7 linked regions of the Callithrix jacchus genome follow. The protein of the gene in region 1 purifies or fractionates together with the protein of each later gene. This does not show direct contact. Links are inferred from orthologs where the notes say so. Each region holds a gene or a part of one and is shown in the gene's direction. Other genes may lie near its edges. The genes, in order: MAP3K7, RIPK2, PELI3, CARD11, USP18, PPP6C and TGFBR1.

Region 1 (4,094 bases):
TATTCTTTCTTTTTTTATCCATTTATCAAACTGTCATTGCGTGTCACTAGAACTATGATAAAAAAAAAGTGACACAATGTTTCCCAGGAGTTGGTAACTTCTTGATGGTCAAATCCAATGACCTATTTGCAATCCCAATTGTGTTTAACATAATTCTTTTTTATACAGCATATACTTGGTTGGCTACTTCTTCATTGGAGAGCTTTCCTCTGGTGACATTCCAATTACTATTTTCCTCACTTCCCTCTTTCAGTCTCTTACTGAAACTTAGAATTTGACATTAGCGTGAATCCATCCTTGGTCTTTACATTTTCATTTCTAACTCCAATTTTCCACGGTTAGGCTTTATGTCAAACGGACTAAATAGAGTTCAACAGTTAGTTTAAAACTAAAACTTGTGCTGATAGTACAATATAGGCAATGCTGCCCATTTTGGGGACAAGATTGATCTAGTTTCAGAGGACCATAATTGCTTTAAAGTCTGAGCCTATTTTCTCAAGTCCTGAAAATGGAGATGTAAAAATTTGATTTTCAAGACGACTGTTGATGATTCATTTACCAATCTAAAGCAACAGTGCCCTGCACTCGTAATCCATAACTTGAGATGAATACGCCAAATTATGTCTCTTAATCATCTCCTCCATATAAAGTTGTAACACCAAAATATTAACTTCTGTTCATGAGCACTCAACCTCCACAGTTATTCATGTTGCATAAGCTGATTCGCTCTTTTAGAATCTCTCATAGTGTCAGGGACGAGCTCAAAGTAACAGGTGCAACTGCTTCGTTCCATATCCCACACTGAGGAAAATACATTTCGTAAGCTGTCTTAAAGAAACAGGTCAACTTAGTTTAGGGCTGAAACTTAAAGGTAAGCTTCGTCACAAAAACACATTTCAATACCATCTTGCCTGTCTGCAGGCAGCTAAAAGGAGACGCAGTGAGGCCAAAACATATTTCACGCAGCAGAGACGAAACCCCATCTTTCATCTTTCCCGCTGGTCCTTAAAGGACCAACCGTACTGATTTTCCGTCACGTTCCGCGCCACTTCCGCTCGCGCACTTTAATTACGTTAGGCATCAGCTCTCGCGTTATCATCCGGTTGCTGAGGCCCTGTAATAAAGGTCTCGCGAAATTTGTTCTAGAGGTCCAAGCTTGCTTCTTAGCTTACTCTACCCCACCCCCAACGTGTCCCTCCTTTACTTTCCAAGTCAAAAAAATTTCCCCTCCCATCTCCTCCCCCAGAGTTTACGGCCCGCTTCCTGTTTCCGATTTCAGCCCGGAACCGGAAGTATAGTGGGCGGGGCCCGGCAGCGGAAAACGCAGCGGAGCCAGAGCCGGGACACGGCTGTGGCCGCTGCCCCTACACCCGCCACGGACCGACGGGTGGTAGGAGTGCGCGGCTCCAGGCTGAAGGTCGGTCCGGAGGCGGGTGGGCGCGGGTCTCACCCGGACTGTCCGGGCGGCACCGTTCCCGGGCCACCCGGGCGCCGCGAGGGATCATGTCTACAGCCTCAGCCGCCTCCTCCTCCTCCTCGTCTTCGGCCGGTGAGATGATCGAAGCCCCTTCTCAGGTCCTCAACTTTGAAGAGATAGACTACAAGGAAATCGAGGTGGAAGAGGTGAGCGAGGCCCGGCATGTAGACGCCGGTCCCGGCCCGCCCCGACCCCTCCTCTGCCTGTGCCCCAGAGGTCCTGGCTTTGAAGGTGTCTCCCCGACCCCTCTAATTCGCTGGACCCTAGTGGGTCCACCCGGGAGACCCCACATCCCTCAGTGACGCGGGAGTAGGAGTTACTCTCTGAGCTCAACTGTTCGGGAGTAGCTTTTTTTCCCTCACTTGGGCACTCTTGATTTTGGATTTGATATCCCGGTGATAAACAGGAGAATGAACTGGTGAGATATTGTGGTCCACCAGTTCTCGTATCTGTAAGTAGTAGTTTCAGCGAAGATCGTAGCCGTTCTGGAGTTTCAGTTCGCTGGCCGTAATGTTCTGAATGGTCAAAGATTGTATGATGTTCGACTTCTACCTCAATGCCTGGCATGTAGGGGATGCTCAATAAATGCTTCTTAAATTAATAGATCGTCAAGTCTAATAAAGTGTTTCCCTTGGCACCGAATGGTTCTCAATTTCTCCGATTTAAATGCTCGGCTTCCAGTTGGGTTAATGTAGGTAAATTTCACCATAAGTAACATAGACTGGTCTACGATCAAAATATGTTTCAAGTAGCATACTCTGAAGAGAACGAATGATTACAGTGACAATCAGAATATTAACATTAGACTAGAAATCGCTATCAGAAAACCCATATCCTCTTTATTCTGCAGTAATTTATTTTAGAACCTGTTATTTCAATGTGACTTTAAAGCATTGCTTCTTTTCAAATTAACAGAGAGGTAATTGGGTTCTAATGACTATCAAATTTAGAAAAGTAAAAACTGCGTATATATATTTTAAAGACACTCTAGAATTTGTTAAAAACTTCGGTTTAAAATATCAGCTCTTACCTTTTATTTGCCTTTTTAAAAAATTTTTAAGCACTTTGCGTTTTATATACCATGAAAAACCTAGTGAAATATTATAGATTGTCAACAAGTTGTGTCTACTTTAAAATTATAAAATTATTTTTAAGTATCAGCAAGTTCAAAGTAGTAAGATAACGTTCAACAAATAAATTTTTTTTCCTGTGCATGTTTTGGAAGAGTAGTGGATTACTGGATTATATGTATTTTTATCACATAAAGTAACTTTAAAGATTCATTGAGAACATCCTTATTTTACAAGATAATATGATGGGAAGAGCAAGGTGTTTGGAGTTAGAGGAAAGTTCAGTGTATCAGATACGCCATTTATTAGCTGTGTGATTTGGGGCAAGTTTCCCAACCCCTTTAAATTTTAGTTTACTGTAAGAAAGAGATAATAAATTCTGTTTGATTTTATCTGCATAACACATCATAGTCTTAGACATTATATGCAAAACACCTACCACAGGGCCTGACACATATTAGGAAACCTAGTTCCAGAGAGGAAATGTGACCTGCTTTAAGGTCAAATAGCTAAAAGAAGACCTGAAAAAAGGGAGAAATGTTTTTAGTGTATTTTTTTTTGCGTTAAGGCTATGATAAATTCCTTTTCCAGAAGTGGATAGTTGATCCAGCTTTCATGGCTAATATTCTTTTTTAAGAATAAAAATTCAGTGAGTCAGTATACAAGAATTGCAGTTTTTAAATAAGTGTTTGCGTCTGCTCTGTGGTGAATTGCTTGCTGTGCTTGTAGACTACAAATTGTTATATAATAATAACTTGTGCTTTATGGTCTACTAAATGCTTTCACAAACATTTCATTTGGTTCTTAAAACCTTAGTTTCTGTTTGCTACTTTTTAAGGCTTTTTGCATTCTTGATTCACGGAAAAACAAGTTCTAAGGAGGTAGTTATCATTTTGATGCTTTTCCCTAAAGCTGTTTCACTTCTTGTTAGGTTTGTGTGTTTCCAAGACCCTTCTCTCAGTTTAAATAATGTTTCAACCTTTGTGTGTATGTGGGGGTGTGTGTGTATGTAGGACATTTCTAAGGAGTAGGTTTTTGTTTATAGATGAAAATTTTTTTCTAATGGTAGTCAGTTATTTGGGTTTTTTGTTTTATTCCTTTTCATTTTTAATACTCTGTTCATTTTTGCATAGAAGGTTGAATTTAGACATTTCTGATATTGAAAGCATTACATAATTTCCATCATCTTCATTTGCACATATTAAAGCAATGTTATACAATCCAGGGTGAACCATGGACCCTTATTAGCTCTTTGTCAACTTAGATTACACTTCCAGTAAAATTGTGAGTAAAATAACAGAGGAAGATAGTCAGAAACAAAAACTATTTTATGTTGCTTTCAGTATTTTATGTTGTATAAGAATATTACCTTCTAAATTAAGAAAATCATATTTTGTATTTCTCAATATAATTGAATTGTATTATATCAATATAACTAGAAAGTTAAAAAAAAAACTCAATCACAGGCTGAATATGCAGTCCTTTAATTGATACATATTTCTAAGACATCAGCTGATCTTGCATTTCTAATATTGTAACTCAGTAGT
Region 2 (3,500 bases), on another chromosome or scaffold:
ATTGAGATTTTGCTTATTTTATAATTGAGGGATGCTACCTTTAGGACATTATGAATACAATTGTATAAACCAGAACTGTAAAAAATGATCAGTGACAATTGTATGAGATGTGAGTAGACTTAGCAGCTCTTTGAGATGTAGAAAGTATCAAGCTATATATGTCATAAAAAGTAAGGTGTGCAAGGTACACACTCACTGAGAATATCAGATAAAAAATGCCTCTTTTTATTTTTCAAACAGTCTCTTTTGAAATTTGTAATGTTATATTAAACTTGAAGTCAGTATGTATTGCTTCTAGTGTTATTTGGCTCAGCACTATGGAATTTAATTTTGTAAGAAGCTGGTGAAATACACAGAAATAAAATATTAAAATATATAACATTTTCTCAGATTGATAACTAAATGCAGTGAATATACACAAAGATAGTTGACTTTTGGACTTTTTAAAGAGAAAAATTTTTAATTATTTGCCCTTTTCCCTTACAGATTGCAGATTTCGGCTTATCAAAATGGCGCATGATGTCCCTCTCACAATCACGAAGTAGCAAATCTGCACCAGAAGGAGGGACAATTGTCTATATGCCACCTGAAAACTATGAACCTGGGCAAAAATCAAGGGCCAGTATCAAGCATGATATATATAGGTAGAGTAAAGTTGCTTTTGCTCAGTTAACCTTGTCTCAAACACAAAATTAGTCCACCAGAATTTTGAAGCTACATTTTAAACTGTGATTTTTATTCTTCTCTTATAATTGTGGTGAAAATAAACTTGAGGCCATGGTGATAAATGATTTTCAAATTAAAGAAATTTAATGACTTGCTTTTCAAATTAAAGAAATTTTTACATCCTTTAAGAAATTTTAAAGCATATCTTCTTATTCCTATCACTTTATAATATAGTTAAGGATTTTTGTCGTATGTGACTTGGAAAGGCAGAGGGAAATAGTGGTTTCTGACATTTTAGCATTAAGTTTCTCAACCTGTGCAACCTTTTAGCCTGTCATATCTATACATCTTTTTAGATAAATAGACAAACTCTTAATCATACAGGGGATGTTTCTATTTAAAGAACCCCTAATATTTGTATGTGTGTGAATTTTTTATTCAACAAATTGGTGGGTTTGAGAAGATCATATTTTCATATTTCAGATGCATATTACTTATAATCTCATAATGCAGTAATAAGCATAACACATTGTTTTTGACACTCGTTATTTAACCAGAAAAAAAGGAGGATGATTACATAGTTTTAGGAGATAGGGACATTCACCTCACTTATAAGTTATGCTTATCTCTTTTAATATACTAGTGAATGCCAAAGCAGACTCTAAATTTTATATTAACACATTTTATAGTTCTTTAAATGGGTTTTTGCCATCTTTAATAAATACTCAGTTAAAAATGAATCATTTTAGGAACAAATGCTCTATCTCTACCAGAGAACTATAAATTTAATTAAATTGTATATTCCTTTTCTTCAAAAGCATTTTAATTTTTGTTATTTCTCATTAAATCCAAAGCTAGCCAATCCATTTTAGTGGGTGCAATAAAACAATTCTTACAGTGTCTTTTACATTCGCATTGTATGAATGTAAAAAACTGTCCTTTTATATTTTGTTTTCTAATTTTTTTAATTCATTTTGAATGATGTACTGAGGGAAGGGAAAATGTATTAATATCTTCCTAAGGCAAAAGTCATGTGCTTCCCAACAGTTCTTGAAAGCTGGTTTGATTCTATAAAAATAGGCCAATTTAAATCTGTTAGTCATTCATTTTGTGAATTTTGCCTTTATGTACAATTTCAGTACTCTCTGTCAGGGAAATATGAGGAAATATTATTCCTTTATTTGGGTAGGAATTCCCTCTGTACTCCTCACTCTTCCTGTAACACAAGGTGTTGGTAGTAATAAATTCCATGTGTCCATTTTGAATGCATGGTTAATGTTGGGGTGTGGCAAAATTCCTATATCCCATTTAACCATTTATTCTAATTATAAACTCTATACAGCTTAACCCTGTAATTGACAACTGAAGTTAAATTGTAGGTAGATTATTTCCACTACCAAAGAAGAGAGTGCTGAGAGCAGAAAAAAGTCAGTAGAATAGAGCCACATGAGAACTTTTTTCTTGCTCTTTGTTCTGTATGAAAAATAGTATCATTTAATTAAAGGGCATAGGTTATGTGGGTGTTCATGAATTAATCCCAGTATTAAATCATCTACAAAAAGTTAATCTTGCCTGTAACATTAAGCTTTATTACAGTAATTTCCTAATTTTTTAAATTAAAATTGATTTTCTTTCAAAACAAAACTAGATGAGCATTCATCATCTTAATTGTATACAGTAATTCTTTGATGCCTTCTTACTTGCAAAAATGGTATCTTCACAGTCAGCTTTTAAAAATAGTGCTATTTTAGTTTATTATGCAGAGGTCATTTAAAATGCATAACATGTGTGTTCTTATGTTAAACAGCTATGCAGTTATGACATGGGAAGTGTTATCCAGAAAACAGCCTTTTGAAGGTATGTTTTGACTTTTTTATGCTCAATAATATCATGTTAGTAGGTCACCCTTAGAACTATCTAAAAATCATGTTATTTTAAATCTGCTTATTCATTTTGTGGAAAACACACTAAAACAAGAATTTATCAATTGTGAATGTATCACATACTACAAAGCATACTGGGTTAAGGATGCAGTTGTGAGTCTACTGTATTAGAAAATATACTGGATTAAAGATCAGAAAAACCCAGACTTGAATTCCCATTCTGATAGTAATTATCTCTGTGATCAAGTCACACAATCTCTTGAGTCCTCATTTTTGTCACCTGCAGAATAAGAATTTTAAATTACTATTTTCAAGTTCCATTCTAGCTGTAAAATTATTTATATGATAATTTAATTACTGCTCTGTCTATAAAGACCAGCAAACACTGAAGACTAATCTGTCCTTTTTATTCTTGGAAAATATTGTTTATTTCTTTATTTTGAGGTTTGTGTAGGTCAGGTTGTTGTGTGACAAAAAACCACCTCAGAATCTCCATAGCTTAGACAATAAGCATTTATTTTTCATTCACATTAAATATTAGTTGCTGTAGCTCTTCTTGATTCTGCTAGGTTTTGCTCAGCTCTGCTTTACAAATACTCTGTTGAGCAAATCCAGTCACATGGCCAAGCCCAAAATTAATGAAGTGAGGATATAAACTCCTTCCATAGGAATCAGACAAGTCTGGCAATGGTGTGGGATATATATATTTCCTTCACAGAAAAGGGGGTAATGAATTATTTCTAAAATTTTAATATTCACTTATTTTCTTTTAGTTTTAGAATGTAAGTAATATGCTGAATCATAATATATTTCTAATGGATGCAGTCCATTTGTTTTGACAGACGTCACCAATCCTTTGCAGATAATGTATAGTGTGTCACAAGGACATAGACCTGTTATTAATGAAGAAAGTTTGCCATATGATATACCTCACCGGGCACGTATGATCTC
Region 3 (3,500 bases), on another chromosome or scaffold:
TCCTGAGTAGCTGGGATTTCAGGCACCCACCACTCCTGGCTAATGTTTGTATTTTTGGTAGAGATGGGGTTTTACCATGTTGGCCAGGCTGGTCTCAAACTCCTGACTGCAGGCAATCTGCCCGCCTTGGTCCGCCAGAGTGCTGGGATTACAGATATGGGCCACCGCACCCGACCTCATCTGGATTTTAGCAAACTCTCTGGAAGATTCTGATTCCAGCAGCCTTGTCTGTATTTGGCAGCTATTTGTCCTGTCACCTCCTGTTCCCAGACCTTCCTGGCTCTCCACTGCTTACAGAATAACGTCCTCAGCCTGGAGTTCAGAGCCATCTCCCCACCACACTTCACCAACGTCACCATTCCCCAATCTCATTAGACCCTGACAGCCTTGGGGCCTTTGCTTAGGGTGAGCCTCCATCTAGAGGGGCTTCTGCAAGTCTGGAGTGGGACAGACCAGGCTCAAATCTGGACATGTTTACCTACTAGCCTGAGGCAAGTCACTTTATCTACCTGAGCCTTGATTTCTCTCATGTGTAAGATGGGCAGAAAGCCGCTTGCCTGGCAGGCCACTGCACAGATGCCATTAGGTGACTGATAACATGAAGGCCAGGAACACGGGGGCAGCAGCCCATGGCAGCAATGAGAGCTGTGACTCACCCACTCTGTGCCTCTCACAGCCGTCCCTTCCAGACAAGAACTGGAAAGGCAGGTGGAAATTTGACATATATAGACATATGGAGGTAGTGGCATTGTGGGTCATTTTTTCCTTTGATTTTGCTTCCTAGTAGTGGTGTGAGAAGTGACAGTTTGCTACAGGTGAACCCTTTCTAGTTCTTCAAGACCCAGTAGAGGTGTTTCCTCTCCCAGAAACCTGATCCTAGAGCCAGAATTCCCTTTTCTTCTTCTAGGCTTATGGCATCCTTGGCTTGTGTCTGGGTGTGGCAGGTGGCACTTAGGTTCCTGGAGAAGCTGAGGAACCTCTCCACTGAGGGCCCACAACTGACCCCGTGGTGCTCTACTGCCCCCATGCACAGCACCGAACCAGGCATGGCTTGAGTGTCCAGGAAACACTTGGTTAACTGAATGAAAGTGCGTTTGAAACTGTTCTGACACCCCCCGCCCACTCCCCAGTGCACCAGTTTGTTATTGTGGGGCTTCTAGAGCTTGTTTATTAACGTAGGATCTCCCCAGAAGTTGGCAGTTTCCTCCAGGTCTCATCAGGGGTTCACCTTCCCTCTTTCTCTCTCTCCTCTTACAACCCTTTCTTCTTAACTCCCCACATCTATAGCTACAATGGATGTCTGGCAAGTGGGGACAAGGGCCGCCGGCGAAGCCGCCTGGCACTGAGCCGCCGGCCGCATGCCAACGGAGTGAAGCCGGACGTCATGCACCATATCTCCACGCCGCTCGTCTCCAAGGCAAGCAACTGACCCATAGACCTGAGCCGGTCCCGCCCAAGGCCCAGGTCTTTGGCATTCTCAGTCCTACCTGCCCACAGCCCCCCACTGCAACAGGGGAGCCTACTTTGTGTCATCACTCACTGCTTATTGGGCTAGCCGAGAATGGTGATGAGAAATCCTTTGCAGTGTGCATAGTTCTTTACAGTTTGCAAAATGCTTCCTTGACCACTGGACCCCTCTGAACCTTGGCTACCTCTAAGACGATGCTGCTTCTTTCCATCCAGTGGAAATGGAAATGGATGGAAATGAGCTGCACCATTTTAGAGGCAGCTAAGGTTCAGAGAGTGGGAGGCGACAGTCACACTGCAATGGTAAAGGAAAAACATTTGGCTTTAGAGGATTTGGGTTAGAATTCAGCCTCTGATATTTCCAGCTGTGTGCCTTTAGGCTAGTTTCTCTCTGACCTGTAGTTCCTTCAACTGTGAAATGGGAACAATAACCCCATTCTTTTTTGTTTTTGAGACAGAGTCTCGCTCTGTCACCCAGGCTGGAGTCCAGTGGTGTGATCTCGGCTCACTGCAACCTTCACTTCCTGGGTTCAACCCGCCTCAGCCTCCTGAGTAGCTGGGCACCACCACACCTGGCTAATTTTTATATTTTAGTAGAGACAGGGTTTCGCTATGTTGGCCAGACTGGTCTTGAACTCCTGACCTCAAGTGACCTGCCCACCTGGGCCTCCCGAAGTGGTGGGATTACAGGTGTGAGCCACCATGCCCAGACTGGTAACCCCATTTGTGGTCCATCCTCTGGCACCACTGAATATCCTGACCCTCTGACTGTGCCACTGCTCCCTGGTATCCCAGCAGCCTCAGGTAGTTTGGAGGAGGCAATTACTTTGAAATTCTTAGGGTGACTGTAGGGTTTAAATCACATGAAACAGCCACTGCACTGTCCACCCTCTGCAAAGGATGGAGCTGCCCACTTCCCAGGGAGTGGCTGCTGGGCCTTGAGCTCCAGCTGCCGGCTCGAGGCATACCCTTATCATGGCTGCACACCCTGGCAAGTGACTTTTTTCTCCCCTCAGGCACTGAGTAACCGTGGCCAGCACAGCATCTCGTACACACTGTCCCGGAGCCACTCAGTCATAGTGGAGTATACACATGATAGTGACACAGACATGTTCCAGGTATGCTCAGGCCTCTCCACACACCTCCTGGCCACCAGGCCTCTAGGCTCTGCAAGCATCTCAGGTGAGGCTACAGTATGGGAGGCCATGGGGAAGTTGCTTCTCTTCAGACGAGGAAGCAGGATGTCCCAGTGTGGGCTGCTGACTGCAGAGTCATACAGCAAGTCAGCGGCTGTATCAGGGCTCAAACTCAAGACTCCCAGACTGTGGGAGGTCACATAGCTCAGGAGTTCAGGTGTGAGAGGCTAATGTGTGGTTCAGATTTTGGCTCCATCACTTAAGTTCATTTTTCTTTTTTTTGAGATGGAGTCTTGCTCTCATCACACAGACTGGAGTACAGTGGCGGACTCTTGGCTCACTGCAACCTCTGCTCCCTGGGTTGAAGTGATTCTCCTTCCTCAGCCTCCTGAGTAGCTGGGATTATAGGCATGCGCCACCACGCCTGGCTAGTTTTTGAATTTTTAGTGGAGACAGGGTTTCGCCATGTTGGCCTTGATCTCCTGACCTCAGGTGATCCACCCGCCTTGGCCTCCCAAAGTGTTAGAATTACAGGCATGAGCCACCTTGCCCACCTATTGTCACTGAAGTTCTCTGGGCCTTGGTTTACTCATCTGTAAAATGACGCCCTTAATAGTACCCACCCCACGGGAAGATTAACTTAGGCATTGCACATAAAATGCTTAGCATGGTGGCTGGCCTATGGCAAATAGTTACTCAGAATTCACTATCTGCTGCTAACATTTGAGCAGCAGATATTATTATTATATTATTATTAATTATTATCCTGTTGGCAAATCAACCGGTATTTATTGAGTGGGGTGATCCCCAGCGCTGGGGGCAACAGAGGAGGAGAAGCTCCAGGCCATGGCTTCTTGTACTTGGAGACCCATCTGGGAACCTAGAGGGCCTAAGGAG
Region 4 (4,253 bases), on another chromosome or scaffold:
GGGTTCATGCGGTTTTGGGTTACACGGACAAATTGTGTAGTGGTGAAGTCTGGGCTTTTAGTGCACACATCACCAAAATAGTGTACATTGTACAGGGTAGGCTGTACCTAATAGGTGATTTTTCATCTCCTAACCCCTCCTAATCTTTCCCTTCTGAGTTGCCAATGTCCATTATCCCACTCTGCCTGCCTTTGCATACCCATAGCTTAGCTCCCACTTTTAAGTAAGAACATGTGGTATTTGATTTTCCACTCCTGAATTCGTTACTTAGGATAATGGCCTCCAGTTCCATCCAAGTTGCTGCAAAAAAACATTATTTTGTTCCTTTTTATGGCTGAGTGTATTCTATAGTGTGTGTGTGTGTGTGTGTGTGTGTGTGTGTGTGTGTATCACATTTTCTTTCATCACGATTTTTGAGTCCACAAACCATGTAAACCCTGGGACCATCCCACCCACCATGATGACCTTTTGGGGTAAATTATTAAAATGATGACATCCAGCTGGGCACGGTGGCTCATGCCTATAATCCCAGCACTTTGGCAGGCTGGGACTGGTGGATCACTTGAGGTCAGGAGTTAAAGGCCATCCTGGCCATTATGGTGAAACTCTATTTCTACTAAAAATACAAAACTTAGCCAGGTTTCATGGTGCACGCCTGTAGTCCCAGCTACTCAGGAAGCTGAGATTGGAGAATCCCTTGAACCCGGGAGGTGAAGCTTGCAGTGAGCTGAGATTGCGCCACTGCACTCCAGCCTGGGCGACAAAGCAAGACTCCATCTCAAAAAATAAAAGCAAAGTAAAATGGTGACATCCAAATCACAGTTACTCTTACAAGTATAGTTCACTGGAATGTTGAGCACACAAGCTGATTGTGGGTGTCTTGGGGCCCAAAGCTAGGGGGATGAGGAAAGCTTTTGCAGGGGTGCTGACCACTGGGATGCCCAGGAAGCTTCCAGAACAAAGGCTGAGGGAAGAAAGAAGCTTGGGCTGTAGGAGGCTGCAGGATTTGATGTGGGGCACCCCATCCCCGCATTGCAGTGACACGGCCTGGAATTTCTTCAGAAATTCGCCTAGACCTCTGGAGCCAGAGCCCTGGAGATCCTAGAAAGGGGATAGCCCCTCCCAAGGATAGCCCCACCTGGATTCTGCCTGGGGTCACAGCTGGGTGGGGACTGATGCCCAGGCTGGTCCACCCTCACCTGGAGGGATGCGGGTGGCTTGGCCCCCTGAGACTAGCCTTGGTCTCCCCATCCAGGGCTGCCTGATCGGTACCCAAGCACCTCCGCCCCAGGCCCTGTCCCCACTCCCACCCCCACCTCCTTAACCTCCCTCCTCCCTGAAGCACGGACTCCGCCCCCTCCTTCTCTTCCTTATCTTTTTCTAACCTTTCGCATTTTTTAGTCTCATTTCCTGTCGGGTTTTGCATTTCCCTCCCTCGCCCCTCCCAGCCTATGACATACTTTCTCTGCTTTTTTCTCTCCTGCCTTCTCTGGCCTTCGGACTCCTGCCCCGCGCCACCAGCAACTCCCTCCCGCCCTGCAACCCCTGGGGGGGCGGCGCCCCTCGGAGGGCCCGGTCGCCTGGAGGAAGCCAGAGGCCTGCATGGAGGAGACGCCCCGCGCAGCTGGCGGAGCATGAGCGCCTCAGGTAGGCACAGCGGGGATGGGGGGCTGGCGGAGGGGGAGCACGAGGCGGGGAGTTGGGGGAAGAGAGGAGGATACGGGGAGAAGATGGGGGGGCATCAGTGAGATGACAGAGTGGAGGAGTCGTTCGGGGATGGGAGTGGCTCATGCTGGCTAGAAGATGGGATGCTGGGGGCATCCTTCCCTCTCCATCTCTGTCCTCCTGTCCCCCTTCTCTCTCTCACTCTCCTCTCCCCTTTTTCCCTTCCAACCCTTTTTGTTCCTCACTTTCCACTTCGTGTACCTCTCTGTGTCTCTCTGAGCGTCTCTGAGTGTCGCTGCCGATCAAAGCCCCCACCTCCTCCTACTGGACAGGAAAGAATTGGGGGTCAGGAGGCTGGAGACCCGGAGGGTGCCCCTCGGTGCACCTGCCCCGGAGGGAGGAAGAGAAACTGTTCTGACACCTGACAGGCCCGGAAGTTTGCAGACCACAGCCCAGCCTGACTCAGAGGCTCCTGGGAAGGTGGGGCCTGGCTCAGGGAGGAAGGGCAACCCCACCAAAAGGGGGTGGGGAGCTGGGAGAGGACAGCCCCCCGCGGGGATTCTACTAGGAAGTGGATGGCAGGGGCACAGGAGGGGGCCCAGGTTCCCCACTGAAGCCCGGAGCAGGACCCTGAGAGCCACCTTCCCCAGAAGGTCCCTCAGGCCCGATGGGGCCACCAGGCCTTCTACTGAATGCCTTCTGCAGAGAGGGGCAGAGAGGGCGTTTCTGTCCCTGGGGGGCTCTGAGCACTGCTGGAGGCTGTCATGGGGACCCAGGTTCATGGACAGTGATCTCACTGAGAGCTTCAGAGCCACCCACACAAACTTGGTCTTGGACCAAACTGACCTCTCTCTGCCTGGCCTGCTCTCAGAGCCTTTGATTTGCAGTTCAAAAAATTTTCTCCTGGCATTCATGACTCATCTTGAAGGTGTAAGGTTACCAACCTACCAGAAAGGGGAGAAAAATAGTCGATTGGTCATTCTACATTTATTGAGTGCTCAGCCTGTGCATAATGCATGCCGGAAATCCTGGGAGCTCGGAATTAATGTGAGGACAGGAATTTCTCCGCAAGTGTCCATTTCTATGCTTTCCCTGAAACTCCAGTTCTCTCCCTAGCAAGGCATCTGTAAAGAGATGATAGCCCTGCCTCAGGCCAGGGGTGCCCTGAGGGTATCAGTGACCAGGACTCAGCTGAGTCAATTAAGGCCAGAGAATGCCTGGACCCGTGGAGATTTTACTTGCCTGGGTATCAGGCAGGCTGCGGCTCTACTGGCCCAGCAGGCTTCGCTTCATGCATGAATGATCCTTTACGTGATTTTTTAAAAATTGTGGTGAAATACACATGACATAAAATTAGCCCATTGAACCCTTTTGAAGTGCACAGCTGAGTGGCGTCAAGCACATTCACCTTGTCTTTCAGCTGTCACCGCTATCCAGTTCCAGAACTTTCTCGTCATTCCAAATTGAAACTGTGTTCCCCGTTAAAAAAGAACTCCCTGCCTCCCTCCTCAGCCCCTAGCAGCCACCCTTCTACATTCTGCCTCTAGGAATCCGGTGACTCTTGGAAGCCCATCTAAGTGGGCTCATACAATTTATGTCCTTCCTGTGTTTGGTTTATTTCTCTGAGCCTTGTGTCCTCAAGGTTCATCTATGTTGTAGCTTGTGACCAAATCTCCTTCCTTTTTCAGGATGAATAATGGGCTATCGTGCAAATAGACCATATTTTGTGTATCTGCTCATCCTTTATATGATTTTAAAAAGTGACTTCTGGCCAGGAGCGATGGCTCATGCCTGTAATCCCAGCACTTTGGGAGGCCAAGGCTGCCAGGTCACCTGAGGTCAGGAGTTCGAGACCAGCCTGGCCAAAGTGGCGACACCCTATCTCTACTAAAAATACACACACAAAATTAGCTGGGTGTTGTGGTGTGCACCTGTAGTCCCAATTACTTGGGAGGCTGAGGCAGGAGAATCGCTTTGAACCCTGGAGGTGAAGGTTGCAGTGAGCTGAGATGGTGCCACTGCACTCCAGCCTGGGCCACAGAGTAAGACTCCATCTCAAAAAAAAAAAAAGACTTCTAAACCTAACTCTTTAAAGATGACGACACTTGTTTGAATCCATCAGTGGGCGTGTGTGGGTGGCTTTGTACTTGGTGCCATAGGGGACGAAGAAATGGCGCTCCATCCCGAGTACATTCATCACACAGTCTGTTCAGAGTGTTGCTGAGATGCACATGAGAAGGAAAAGAATTAGGAGGAGCAGGAGGGCAACAGGGAGTGAGGTTGTGAGAGGAGGACTCAGAAGGTCCAGGGATTCCTGGAAGGTTCTGGGCTGAGATGATGCTGAAAATCTCAGGGAAGAAGGGCAGCCCCACCAAAAGGGGGTGCGGAGCTGTGAGATGAGACAGGACAGCCCCCCGAGTGGACACTATACTAGGAAGGGGGTGGCAGAATCACAGGAGGGGCCCAGGTTCTAGGAATCCAGGAGTTCAAGACCAGCCTGGGCAACATGGTGAAACCCTGCCTCTACTAAAAATACAAAAATTAGCCGGGCGTGGTGGTGGGCGCCTGTGATCCCAGCTACTTGGGAG
Region 5 (3,500 bases), on another chromosome or scaffold:
CTGGGATTACAGGCCTGAGCCACCGTGCCAGGCCTCAGCTCTGAATCTCTGGGGTTAGTCATGGAACCCTAATTTGTTCATTTAGCGATGTCATGTTCCTCTGACTGATCTTGCTTCTTAGGGCTGTGTGCCAGTGTCCGTGCATTGACACAGGTACCGAAGCCAGTCTTCATCATGCGGCTTTGTTTGGGCTCTTCTTTCATCCGAGATTAAGGAGAGGCTGATTGCTCAGGACCCTAAGCCCATGACTGCATCAGCTGTTGTAGTGCCAGGGCATGCCCTAAGTCCGGGATCACTGTGGTTGGAATTCTCTGGTCTCTGAGACCGACACAGCCCGGGTCACGCCTGAAGGCCATGGCTGCTGAGACCCGCACAGCACTGGGCTCGCCCAAGACCCATGGCTGCGATGGCTTGCCTGCTGCTGCTGAGGTTTATTCAGCACCCAAGGTCCCTGTAGCTGGTAGGTGGTGATGTGGGCCAGACCCCAAGTCCCTGTCGCTGGGGAGCGTGTTGTCATCTGGCACTAGGGTGGCGTGAGATCTGCCTGTGGGTACTGGTCTAGTATCAGGGAGCTGAGGCTCTGCCCAGTACTGGGTTTTACTGTAGTGAACCTAGTACTGCGTTCCCAGGCAAAGTCCTCTACCTACCTCTTTTTCCCTAAGCAAACAGTGTCTCTCTTCATGCTGCTGTGCTGGGGTTGGGGGAGGGGTGCACGGGTAACCCTATGGCCACCGAGGCTGACGCAATACTGGGTCACACCCAGAGTCCACTGCCGTGAGACCAGCCCAGTGCCCGAGGCCTGTGGGTGCCAGCGCCTGCCTGGAGCTGAGGTTTATCTGAGGCCTGTGACGGCTGCAGCCGCAGTGATGCGGCCAGAACACAGGTCTGTGCTACAGGGCCGCAGTTTCCCTTCCGGTGTGGGGCAGGTTGAGAGGCTTCCTCTGTGGGTGCCAGCCTGGCATCAGGGGCTGAGTTTCTGCTCAGTGCTGGCATTTACTGAAGTGGGCCTGATCCTGGGCTGCAAAGCGGAGTCCCATGCGGGCTTTCCTGTCCTTCCCCAAGAAGGCATTCTGGGTTAGGATTTGGCAGTCCGCTCTGAGGAAGAATGAATGGAAACTCGGGGGACCCAGAGTAGCGGATGTGTAGCCTAGCTGTCATTTCCAGCCTAGAGCTCTATGCATCAACCTCCCCAAACAGTTACCTCCCGCTAAGCCCTGGCTCTTTGGCATCAGAACGGATTACATGAAACATACACATTCCCCCTTCTCGAATCCTTACCTCCTGCATTGTGTTTTCACAGCGATCCCATTGTGCCTGGCTCACTCCCATGAGCTCTTCCTGGAAGTGAGGTGGTGCTGTCCTGCACATCGGCCTGGCAGCTGCGGCCTGCGGTTTTGGAGTGATCACGAATGGGCAAGGCGTTTGGGCTCCTGGGACAAACCTGTCAGTCAAACCTGGCTGAGTCTCCACGGTCCCCAGCAGATCCTGTTGGAAAGAAGGAAGCAGACAGCAACATGAAGAGGAAGGGAGAGCAGCCCGGAGCTCGTCCTGGGGCCTGGGAATACCCTCATGGTCATTAGACCCCTCCCATTCTCCTCTTCCTGACTGCATGTCTTTTATTTATTATAAACAAATAAATTTGTTTATAATAAACATGTATATTTATCATATGCTTATTAAATATATAATAAATATATTTATATACTAAATATATAATATATAAATTTATTATATATTTATTTATTAAATATTTATTATATAAATAATAAATTATTTATTTATTTTTTAAGACGGGGTTTCACCATGTTGGTCAGGCTGGTCTTGAACGCCTGACCTCAGATGATCTGCCCGCCTTGGCCTCCAAAGTGCTTGGATTACAGGCGTGAGCCACCACGCTCGGCCCTGACTGCATGTCAATGCTTGCCTCGCCCCCTTCGCTCTGAAGCAGCAGAGCATCCTGGCTGATGGCACCGGCTTTCTTGGGCCTGAATTTCTGCGTCTTTTAGACGGGGATACAGCCTGGGCTATGGTGAAATCCTATCTCTAAAAAGCAAAACCAAATGGGGACAATGGTAGCAGCAAGCACATGGGTGCTGGGAGGATTCAGTGGGGTCCTCTGTGGAAGCTGCTTTCAGCCAGCGCTGGGCGTCTAGTGGCAGTTAGTTCCCATGTCTACTGCTGAGGTCCCTTTGTACTGGATGCGGAAATCTGTGCTCACCTGCAGCCCCCAATTTTTACTTTTTTATTGCCCTATCTCATAAGCCAAAGCCCTTTCCCCAAGAAGTCTGAGATTAGTGGTACTCTCTCCCTCTTAAATTGCCCACCTTGTGGGGTCTGCGGAGCCTAAGGTGGGTTGGAAGAGGGGAGGTTGGGTGCCAGGGTTCAGGGAAATGTCGCCTTTTGTTTTTCTCCTATTCTTGTAAGTTCCTTCTGCCTTTCGGCCTCTCGGGGTGAGACTGGATTAGGCGAATCTTCCCCACAGCTGCCTTCTGATCTCCTGCCTCCCAGTGGTGGGGACTGGGCAGGGACCTCTCCACTGGAGTCCGACAGAGACAAACTGGGGAGTTCCTCTTGTCCGTGAGCCCCGCAGATTCACATTTGGACTCGGCTCTGAGGAGAGCACTTGGAATGAGGGAGCCCATAATTCCCAGTCGTGCTTTCTCTGATGTTTCTTTCTTTGTCTCCCCCAACAACGGCTTGCCCTACTCATTTGGCCGTGAATAATTTACATTTTTGGTGACATCTCACTTCATCTATTGGGCTATTAAAACTTTTCTTATTACTGAACTTTTTTTTTTTTTTGAGATGGAGTTTTGCTGTCACCTAGAGTGCAGTGGCACGATCTTGGCTCACTGTAACCTCCGCCTGCCAGGTTCAAGCAATTCTCCTGTATCAGCCTCCCGAGTAGCTGGGATTATAGGTATGTGCCACCATGCCCCGGCTAATTTTTGTATTTTTAGTAGAGATGGAGTTTCACCATATTGGCCAGGCTGGTCTCGAACTCCGACCTCAGGTGATCTGCCTGCCTCTGCCTCCCAACGTGCTGGGATTACAGGTGTGAGCCACTGCGCCTGGCCGGTGTTATCTTCTGTTCAATTTGTTTGCAAGCTCTTGAGTGAACGCTTTGTACCTCTAAGAGAACTTTACAGGATTTCATGTCCTTAGTAGATTTAAGAAAAACATTTGATTTTTGTCAACTTTTTTTTTTTTGAGATGGAGTTCTACTCTTGTTGCCCAGGCTGGAGTGCAGTGGTGCAGTCTTGGCTCACTGGAACTTCCGCCTGCCAGGTTCAAGCCATTCTCCTGCCTCACCCTCCTGAGTGGCTGGGATTACAGGCACCTGCCTTGACGCCCAGCTGATTTTTGAATTTTTAGTAGAGACCGGGTTTTCACCATGTTGGCCAGGCTGGTCCTGAACTCCTGACCTCAGGTGATCCGCCTGCCTCGGCCTCCCAAAGTGCTGGGATTACAGGTGTGAGCCACCGCACCCAGCCTTGTCA
Region 6 (4,055 bases), on another chromosome or scaffold:
TCCATTTCCTGGGCTCAAGCGATTCTTCTGCCTCAGCCTCCAGTGTAGCTGGGACCACAAGCACGCACTACTGCCCCCGGCTAAATTTGGTAGTTTTTGTAGCTACAGATAGGATAGAGATCTTTGTCTATTTTGTTCACTAAGTATTCCAAGCGCCTGCAGCTGTACCTGGTACATCTTTGTTGCTCAATAAAGAGCGGTTGAATAAACTACTGAAGGTATGCGGTACTGTTCTCCGTGCTGGAGTCACAGCAGAAAACTCCCTGCCTTCGTGGGATTCTCACTGGAAGTATGCTTAAGCTTAAGCCATTTTCCAATCTTGGCCCCACCATTTGTTCCCTGTGAGATTTGGGGTAAACTACTTAAAGCCTCCAAGTCTCACTTTCCTACCAATTGTTACAAAGATTAAATGGAAAAATAGAATTTGTATCGCATTTAGCATAAGAAATGTTTTTTTTTTTTGAGATGGAGTTTCGCTGTTGTTACCCAGACTGGAGAGCAATGGCATGATCTCGGCTCACCGCAACCTCCGCCTTCTGGGTTCAGGCAATTCTCCTGCCTCAGCCTCCCGAGTAGCTGGGACTACAGGCGCCACCACCATGCCCAGCTAATTTTTGTATTTTTAGTAGAGACGGGGTTTCACCTTGTTGCCCAGGATGGTCTCGATCTCTTGATGTCGTGATTTACCCGCCTCGGCCTCCCAAAGTGCTAGGATTATAGGCGTGAGCCACCGCGCCCGGCCAAGAAATGCTTTAATATTTCTTTATCTTCCTTTCAGGCTGGAGCCTGACATTTGTGCCACAGGCTTAAGCGAGGTTTTCACAGGCACTTGGAAAGATGCAAACAAGTTACTACGGCCAGGCTTACCCAGTTGTTAAGTGAAAGTGAGAGAGTGCTTAAAAGGGTTGGAAGGAGAAACGAGTGAGTGGCTAGGACGACCTACTCCGCCGTTTTGCCTCGGAAAAGCCTCGCCCGCTGCCGGGAGGTGAAAGTCTGGAGGAACTGAAGGGGAGGAAAAGAAAGGGGTGGCTGTCCACAACGGAAAACTACAAATCCCGGCAACACCCGCGGCAGGCGACTACGGGTCCCATCAGAATTCGCAGGCTGGACCGATGGGGGGGCCTCTTGGGGCCTGCAGCCGGGGTTCAGCCAGAGGGGGCGCCGGGCGTACCGAGGTAGCGGGGAGAAGCGGGTCGCGCTTTAACGGCGCTGCGCAGACGCCACTCACGGTCCGGACGTGACGTAGGAGAGTTCCGGCTTCGGCCTCCGCCGCTGCCGCCGCCGCCGCTGCTTTTACAGCCGCCGCCGCCGCCGACCCCGCCGCTGTCGCCGCGGCTTGTTATTCTCAAAATGGCGCCGCTAGACCTAGACAAGTATGTGGAGATAGCGCGGCTGTGCAAATACCTGCCAGAGAACGACCTGAAGGTGAGCCCTGCCGGGGCGGGAGCGCTGCTTACAGGCTCGCCCCTTCCGGCTGTGGGGCGCCCGCCGGCCCGCCCTTCCTCTCTTCGTGGGACCCCCGCCGGGTATCCCGTCTCTCCGCGGTGGAGGGCCCTCTCCGATGCCATGCGACCCGGCCCGACCCGGCGTCACGCCAATGGTTGGGGGAACCAAGTCCCCCAAATGATGTCCTAGTTGCCTCAGTGGGTATCCCAAGGGATTTCGCGGCCTCTACCCCAGGGTCGCCCCTTTTGGCCTTCGGGCTGCCCCAGGACCCGTAGCTGCAACAGCTTTGCTTAGCAGCTTTCCACCCCTTCCCGGGATCTCCGGCATTCACTGCCGAGCCCCCGCGGCAGTGCCCTCGGGATGGGATCGTCCCCGTTGGAGGTGACAGGAGCGCAGAGTGGCCGGCGTCTGACAGGAGTTGCCACAGGCTCTTGCAACGCGGCCCCAGTTTGTTTAGGTCTCTGAGGAAGGGGAAGGCGGTGGGTCCGAGTGGTTTGGTACTGACGAGAGCGAATGTCAGATCGTCCCTCTTCTCTGCCACTCCTCCACCTTCTCCAAATTGCCTTTTAGGACCGTGGGTTTTCTTCTGCTAATTCAGAGGTGAACCCGTTTCTGAGTATTTTGTTGAGCTTACTGAAGTGGAGAAAGTAGTTGGTTCTTAATAAATACAAATACTTTCCCCTTAACCCCTTCTTAACTCAAGATTTCGTTTTCTTGGTTTTCTAAAGAAGACGAGTTCCTCGTTGCCCTTGAGTCCAAGTAAATGTATGTATGGGTAAAGGAATGAGTTTGATATACTGCTTTTCTTTTCAACTTATTATTTATTTATTTATTTTATTTTTCTTTGAGACGGAGTCTCTGCCGCCCAGTCTGAAGTGCAGTGGCTTGATCTCAGCTCACTGAAGCCTCCGCCTCTTGGGTTCAAGCGATTCTCCTGCCTCAGCCTCCTGAGCAGCTGAGATTACAGGCACATGCCACCACGTCTGGCTCATTTTTGTATTTTTAGTAGAGATGGCGTTTCACCATGTTGGCCAGGCTGATCTTGAACTCCTGACCTCGTGATCTGCCCGCCTTGGCCTCCCAAAGTGCTGGTATTACAGATGTGAGCCACCGCTCCCTTCCATCATTATTTTTTATTGAAACAGTCTCACTCTGTCATCCAGGCTGGAGTGCAGTGGCGCGATCTTGGCTCACTGCACCTCTGCCTCCTGGGTTCGAGTGATTCTCCTGCCTCAGCCTCCCGAGTAGGTGGCTGACACCCGGCTGTTTTGTATTTTTAGTAGAGACGGGTTTTTGCCATGTTGGCCAGGCTAGTCTCGAACTCCTGACCTCAATTGGTCCGCCCACCTCAACTTCCCAAAGTGCTGGGATTACAGACGTGAGCCCCCGCACCCGTCCTAGGTATGCTGCTTTTTTGAAAAGTGTTTATGCATTTGGTGAAACCAGTGCTTATTAGGTTTCTAGCAGTGCTTATCAGCTTGTGCTAGTTATTTATCTTAGTGTATTCTTCAAGAAATATATTACTGTGGGTTTTGTTTGTTTCTTCTTTGGTATTGGAAGTTGATACTTAACATAAGTCAACAAGTATGCATAATGTTTGAGGCCACACATGCTGTTGTGAATGTAACTGAATTGTACTTATATGTTAATTTTATGAAGCATATTATAGGGGAGTCATTCTTGTGTATGCTCCCATTTTTAATAGGATAATTTAAAATAAGGATAGAGCCTTCATTAGTAGCAATGTAGCATACATACTCATCAGTCCTTCAGACATTTGTTTTGTGGCTTCTTTCTGCTATGCGTGTTTCTTTTTTCTTTTTTTTGGAATAAGAATACAACTAGCATTGGGATCCAATTCATGGAAAACTAACCAGACCTCTTAGTAGCATTATTAATCCTGTAGGTGAGGTTGACTATTGCATGTCAGTGAATTGATTTGGAATTTTTTCTTTTTATTTATCATGTGTAAAGCTTTTTTAAACTTTGTGTTTATGATAAATAAAATGTTTTTTTTTTTTTTATGATAACGTCTCAGGCATGGCATAATCCCAGCACTTTGGGAGGCCAAGGTGGGCGGATCATCTGAGGTCAGGAGTTCGAAACTAGCCTGATCGACATGGGAAACCCCATCTCTACTAAAAAATGCAAAAATTAGCCTGGCGTGGTGGTGAGTGCCTGTAATCCCAGCTACCTGGGAGGCTGAGGCAGGGTGAATTGCTTGAACCCAGGAGGTGGAGGTTGCAGTGACCCAAGATCAAGCCACTGCACTCCAGCCTGTGTGACAGAGGGAGACTCCATCTCACAAAAAAAAAAAGAATCTGTTGGACTTCTTTGGACCTCTTACTTTGATAAACATTAGATTTCCTTCTTACCTTAATGAAATATAGTTTTTAGACCATTTTATTTCCTATTGAACACAACTGCATTATACTTTGCTTCTATTTGTTTTTCTTTTTTTCTTTTCTTTTTTTTTTTTGAGATGGAATTTCGCTCTTGTTACCCAGGCTGGAGTGCAATGGCACGATCTGGGCTCACCGCAACCTCTGCCTCCTGGGTTCAGGCAATTCTGCCTCAGCCTCCTCAGTAGCTGGGATTGCAGGCACGCG
Region 7 (3,500 bases), on another chromosome or scaffold:
GGGCTGGTCAGACTGTAATATCTTTGTGACTTTGATGAAGGCATCTGGAGTTACAATGTGGCAAAGAAAAGGATAGTTCCAGAATTTCCCAGTTCCGTCATTTGAGCTCAAAATATCTGAGTAGAGATTTGCAAAACCTTGTGAAGAAGTCACTTCACCTCTTATGTTTCTAATGAACATATATACACTTCTCATTTCCAGCTCTAAGATAGGCAAACAAAAAAATTACCAATGAAAAGTTAGGAGTTCAAAAGAAGTAGTCTGAACTACATAGATTAGATGTCATCCTAAGAACTAGGCTTACCACATGATAGGGAAGAAGTTTCAAACAGTTTAAGGTCTATTTTCAGTTATTGACTATGAAATGAGAACATTTCACAGTTGTTAAAGGTTGCTTTCAGAGGAAAAGTCCAACTGATGAATGTTTTTAAAAATGCACTATTGAGAGCAAACAACAGACCAGATGCTATAATTTTATAGTCAAGTTTGGGACAAGCTTAAGAAATTGTGTTACAATTCAGAGAAAAGACAGTTGGTGAGCATATTAAGAGTTATAGGGAACAGATTTAGACTATCCAATATGCTTATTATCAGAATTCTAGAAAAAGGCATGAGACAAGAAAGAAGACAGAATACCACACAGAATTAGTGAAAAATATTAATACAAACACATATAATAAAAATTATCAATTTCAAGAATAAAAGAATTATGTAAGCATTTAACACACATAAACATTGGTTACCTGTAAGAGGCAAAAAAAAAAAAATTCACATTTTTTGCTTAAATATCAGAGGGCAAACGGAACATTCTTGCTGTTACCCAAAATTCTTGAAATAGGCCAAGATTTTTCATATAGAAAGGCAACAGCTTTCTTGCCACAACTAAGTTCAGTGTACAAGGACCCATAGACTCTTCCTGAAAGAAATTACTAGAAATAGGATTCTGTGTGATAAGAGATTAATCTACTAAAGATCTCAAGAATGGGAAAGATGTGATATGAATGAAGTGGTGGTAAGCAGTAAACCAGTAAGGCTCAGGATGAATGTCAAAATAATTGTAATGTTCCGAAACAACCAGAAAATCTTAATTATTAGTAGAAGTTACAAGAAAATGATCTGGACTTAAAAGTCCAGGAGGTTAAAATAATATATATATACATATGTATATATATATATATGAAAACTCTGTTAAAAAAACAAAGGATGTGTTTTGCCTTTAAAAAAATTGGTGGAGAAATGGGCTGGGCACAGTGGCTCACACCTGTATCTCAGCACTTTGGGAGGCCAAGGTGGGTGGATCACTTGAGGTCAGGAGTTTGAGACCAGCCTGACCAACATGGTGAAACCCCATCTCTACCAAGATACAAAAATTAGCCAGGTGTGGTGGTGCGTGACTGTAATCCTAGCTACTTAGGCAAGAGAATCCCTTGAACCTGGGAGGCGGAGATTGCAATGAGCTGAGATTGCGCCACTGCACTCTAGCCTGGGCAACAAGAGTGAAACTCCATCTCAAAAAAAAAAATTAGTAGAGATATATACTAAAATGTGAGTTGTTTGGGAGTGATGAAGATGTATGTGTTTTGGGTTTTTTGTTTGTTTTGATTTTTTTTGTTGTTCGGGTTTTTCTTTTCCCCTGCCATGGGCATGTACTGGCCTTAGAACAAGAAGACAAGCCAGACATACTTTAAAAAAACAAGATGATTATTAAGGAGATGTTAATGAGTATTAACTACTAATTATTAATTACTAATACCAATAACCTGATTATTGAGTATTGGTATTAGTAACCTAATATGATAAGTGAGGAAGGTCCTATAATATTGGTGACAGCTGACCTTGTGATGATGGCTGAAGAATACAGGAAGAGTAAGTGGGTACTGACAGAGCTGGTGTTCATAAAAGGAGGCCTAGTGGGAGAAGACTGAATGATTCACTTGTTCTGGGTTTGAGCCCTATAAGCTGTTGTAATGAGGCTCTTCGGCTAAGTGGTGGCAGTGGCCAGCTGCAGGAATTGTGTAGGATTAGGAAAATGGGGGTTGCCACCTACAGTGTTTTGTTGTTGTTGATGTTTGTTTCACTCAAGGCCCTTTTTCAGTGAAGCCATCACCTGGCCTTGGTCCCGTGGAACTGGCAGCTGTCATTGCTGGACCGGTGTGCTTCGTCTGCGTCTCACTCATGTTGATGGTCTATATCTGCCACAACCGCACAGTCATTCACCATCGAGTGCCTAATGAAGAGGATCCTTCATTAGATCGCCCTTTTATTTCAGAGGGTACTACATTGAAAGACTTAATTTATGATATGACAACGTCAGGTTCTGGCTCAGGTAATGTAATTGTTTCTCCTTTTTCCTAACAAGTCTTTTAAAAATTAAGGGGTATTTATTTTATTAGTTTTTTTAATAAGCCAAGTTGTTAAAATGTGAGATAAATAATATTACAGGTTTGAACCTAATAAAAATCTTTAAGCTTGCTATATATATGCCTGTGGCTAGTTTAAAATAGATTGGAACTTACTTTAACTGTTAAAATGAGTAAGTAGAGCTCCATGTTGGTATAAATTTCAAAGCATTCTCACCGGTATCATCAAATTTGCTTTTCATCACTGTGAGGTAGAAAGGATAGAAACAATTATTCTCATACAGATGAAGCTGAAGTTTAAGATCTTCAAACCATTTGCAGCTAACCCATTCTATTCAGGATTATTTAGCAGCTTGATGTTTATATTTGAAAACAGGCATGACAGAAATGTATTCTGAATTGTGAAGGTTATTTGCTTTTTAAACATTATATGAAATTGTCTTTAGTACAGGCCTCATTTTAAAAAATTAAACTAATGAACTCTTATGTCATTTTCTCACTTCAGAAAAATGTCTAGCCACCTTCTTATTTAAGGTAGTTTTGGCCCCTAATGAGGTTTGCCTTTCTCAGTTCTGTTTGTTGATATTTTGGAGAGCTAATTGTCAGTCATCCCAGGGTGGATTTTGGCATAGCAGTGCTTCATGTTTAAACTGAAGGGCTGCTATCTTTTACTTTTTCTTGCATGAGGTTTGGAAGACTATTAAGGAACACTCCTACCTCGTATGTTTTTAGAATTTGATACTTGACTAAGAATAAATAGAATCTAGTTTCCAAGGCAAGTTTTGTCATAGATTGGCTATATAATCTTGGTTAAAACATGTTTCCTCTTTCGGCTTCTGTTTCCTCATCAAAAATATGGAACCCATACTGTTGATAAAAACACTTCAAATGGTTTGTTAAGACTTTTAAATGAGATATATACTGTCCTTTGAAAAGTATGAATCATCTTCAAATAAGGGCTAAATTCAGGAGTGAAGTGAAAATTTGGAAAGCATATGTAATGAAAATTTCACTAATTTTGGTGAAACCCCATCTCTACTAAAAATGCAAAAAAATTAGCCAGGTATGGTGGCATGCACTTGTAGTCCCAGCTACTCGGGAGACTGAGGCAGGAGAATCACTTGAACCTGGGAGGCGGCG

The links.
Region 2: the proteins of MAP3K7 (region 1) and RIPK2 purify together in Homo sapiens (affinity purification with western blotting; 4 studies listed by BioGRID). This does not show direct contact. The link is inferred for Callithrix jacchus from reciprocal best matches to the Homo sapiens genes MAP3K7 and RIPK2.
Region 3: the proteins of MAP3K7 (region 1) and PELI3 purify together in Homo sapiens (affinity purification with western blotting; 3 studies listed by BioGRID and IntAct, with this or other methods). This does not show direct contact. The link is inferred for Callithrix jacchus from reciprocal best matches to the Homo sapiens genes MAP3K7 and PELI3.
Region 4: the proteins of MAP3K7 (region 1) and CARD11 purify together in Homo sapiens (affinity purification with western blotting; 3 studies listed by BioGRID). This does not show direct contact. The link is inferred for Callithrix jacchus from reciprocal best matches to the Homo sapiens genes MAP3K7 and CARD11.
Region 5: the proteins of MAP3K7 (region 1) and USP18 purify together in Homo sapiens (affinity purification with western blotting; 4 studies listed by BioGRID, with this or other methods). This does not show direct contact. The link is inferred for Callithrix jacchus from reciprocal best matches to the Homo sapiens genes MAP3K7 and USP18.
Region 6: the proteins of MAP3K7 (region 1) and PPP6C purify together in Homo sapiens (affinity purification with western blotting; 3 studies listed by BioGRID and IntAct, with this or other methods). This does not show direct contact. The link is inferred for Callithrix jacchus from reciprocal best matches to the Homo sapiens genes MAP3K7 and PPP6C.
Region 7: the proteins of MAP3K7 (region 1) and TGFBR1 purify together in Homo sapiens (affinity purification with western blotting; 3 studies listed by BioGRID). This does not show direct contact. The link is inferred for Callithrix jacchus from reciprocal best matches to the Homo sapiens genes MAP3K7 and TGFBR1.

What each region holds. Positions count from the first base shown.
Region 1 is NC_133505.1:96,667,375-96,671,468, reverse strand, and holds the start of MAP3K7 (mitogen-activated protein kinase kinase kinase 7), read left to right. Parts: upstream 1-1,294; 5' UTR 1,295-1,503; coding exon 1,504-1,623; intron 1,624-4,094. UniProt on the Homo sapiens protein: Serine/threonine kinase which acts as an essential component of the MAP kinase signal transduction pathway. Plays an important role in the cascades of cellular responses evoked by changes in the environment.
Region 2 is NC_133517.1:37,377,464-37,380,963, reverse strand, and holds part of RIPK2 (receptor-interacting serine/threonine-protein kinase 2), read left to right. Parts: intron 1-486; coding exon 487-644; intron 645-2,473; coding exon 2,474-2,523; intron 2,524-3,391; coding exon 3,392-3,500.
Region 3 is NC_133511.1:123,543,589-123,547,088, forward strand, and holds part of PELI3 (E3 ubiquitin-protein ligase pellino homolog 3), read left to right. Parts: intron 1-1,287; coding exon 1,288-1,417; intron 1,418-2,483; coding exon 2,484-2,585; intron 2,586-3,500. UniProt on the Homo sapiens protein: E3 ubiquitin ligase catalyzing the covalent attachment of ubiquitin moieties onto substrate proteins. Involved in the TLR and IL-1 signaling pathways via interaction with the complex containing IRAK kinases and TRAF6.
Region 4 is NC_133503.1:19,345,833-19,350,085, forward strand, and holds the start of CARD11 (caspase recruitment domain-containing protein 11), read left to right. Parts: upstream 1-1,453; 5' UTR 1,454-1,647; intron 1,648-4,253. UniProt on the Homo sapiens protein: Adapter protein that plays a key role in adaptive immune response by transducing the activation of NF-kappa-B downstream of T-cell receptor (TCR) and B-cell receptor (BCR) engagement.
Region 5 is NC_133502.1:213,247,289-213,250,788, forward strand, and holds part of USP18 (ubl carboxyl-terminal hydrolase 18), read left to right. Parts: intron 1-1,300; 5' UTR 1,301-1,409; coding exon 1,410-1,572; intron 1,573-2,805; coding exon of another isoform or gene 2,806-2,920; intron 2,921-3,500. UniProt on the Homo sapiens protein: Interferon-induced ISG15-specific protease that plays a crucial role for maintaining a proper balance of ISG15-conjugated proteins in cells. Regulates protein ISGylation by efficiently cleaving ISG15 conjugates linked via isopeptide bonds.
Region 6 is NC_133502.1:173,787,365-173,791,419, reverse strand, and holds the start of PPP6C (serine/threonine-protein phosphatase 6 catalytic subunit), read left to right. Parts: upstream 1-1,255; 5' UTR 1,256-1,350; coding exon 1,351-1,425; exon of another isoform or gene 1,426-1,643; intron 1,644-4,055.
Region 7 is NC_133502.1:147,251,348-147,254,847, forward strand, and holds part of TGFBR1 (TGF-beta receptor type-1), read left to right. Parts: intron 1-2,083; coding exon 2,084-2,326; intron 2,327-3,500. UniProt on the Homo sapiens protein: Transmembrane serine/threonine kinase forming with the TGF-beta type II serine/threonine kinase receptor, TGFBR2, the non-promiscuous receptor for the TGF-beta cytokines TGFB1, TGFB2 and TGFB3.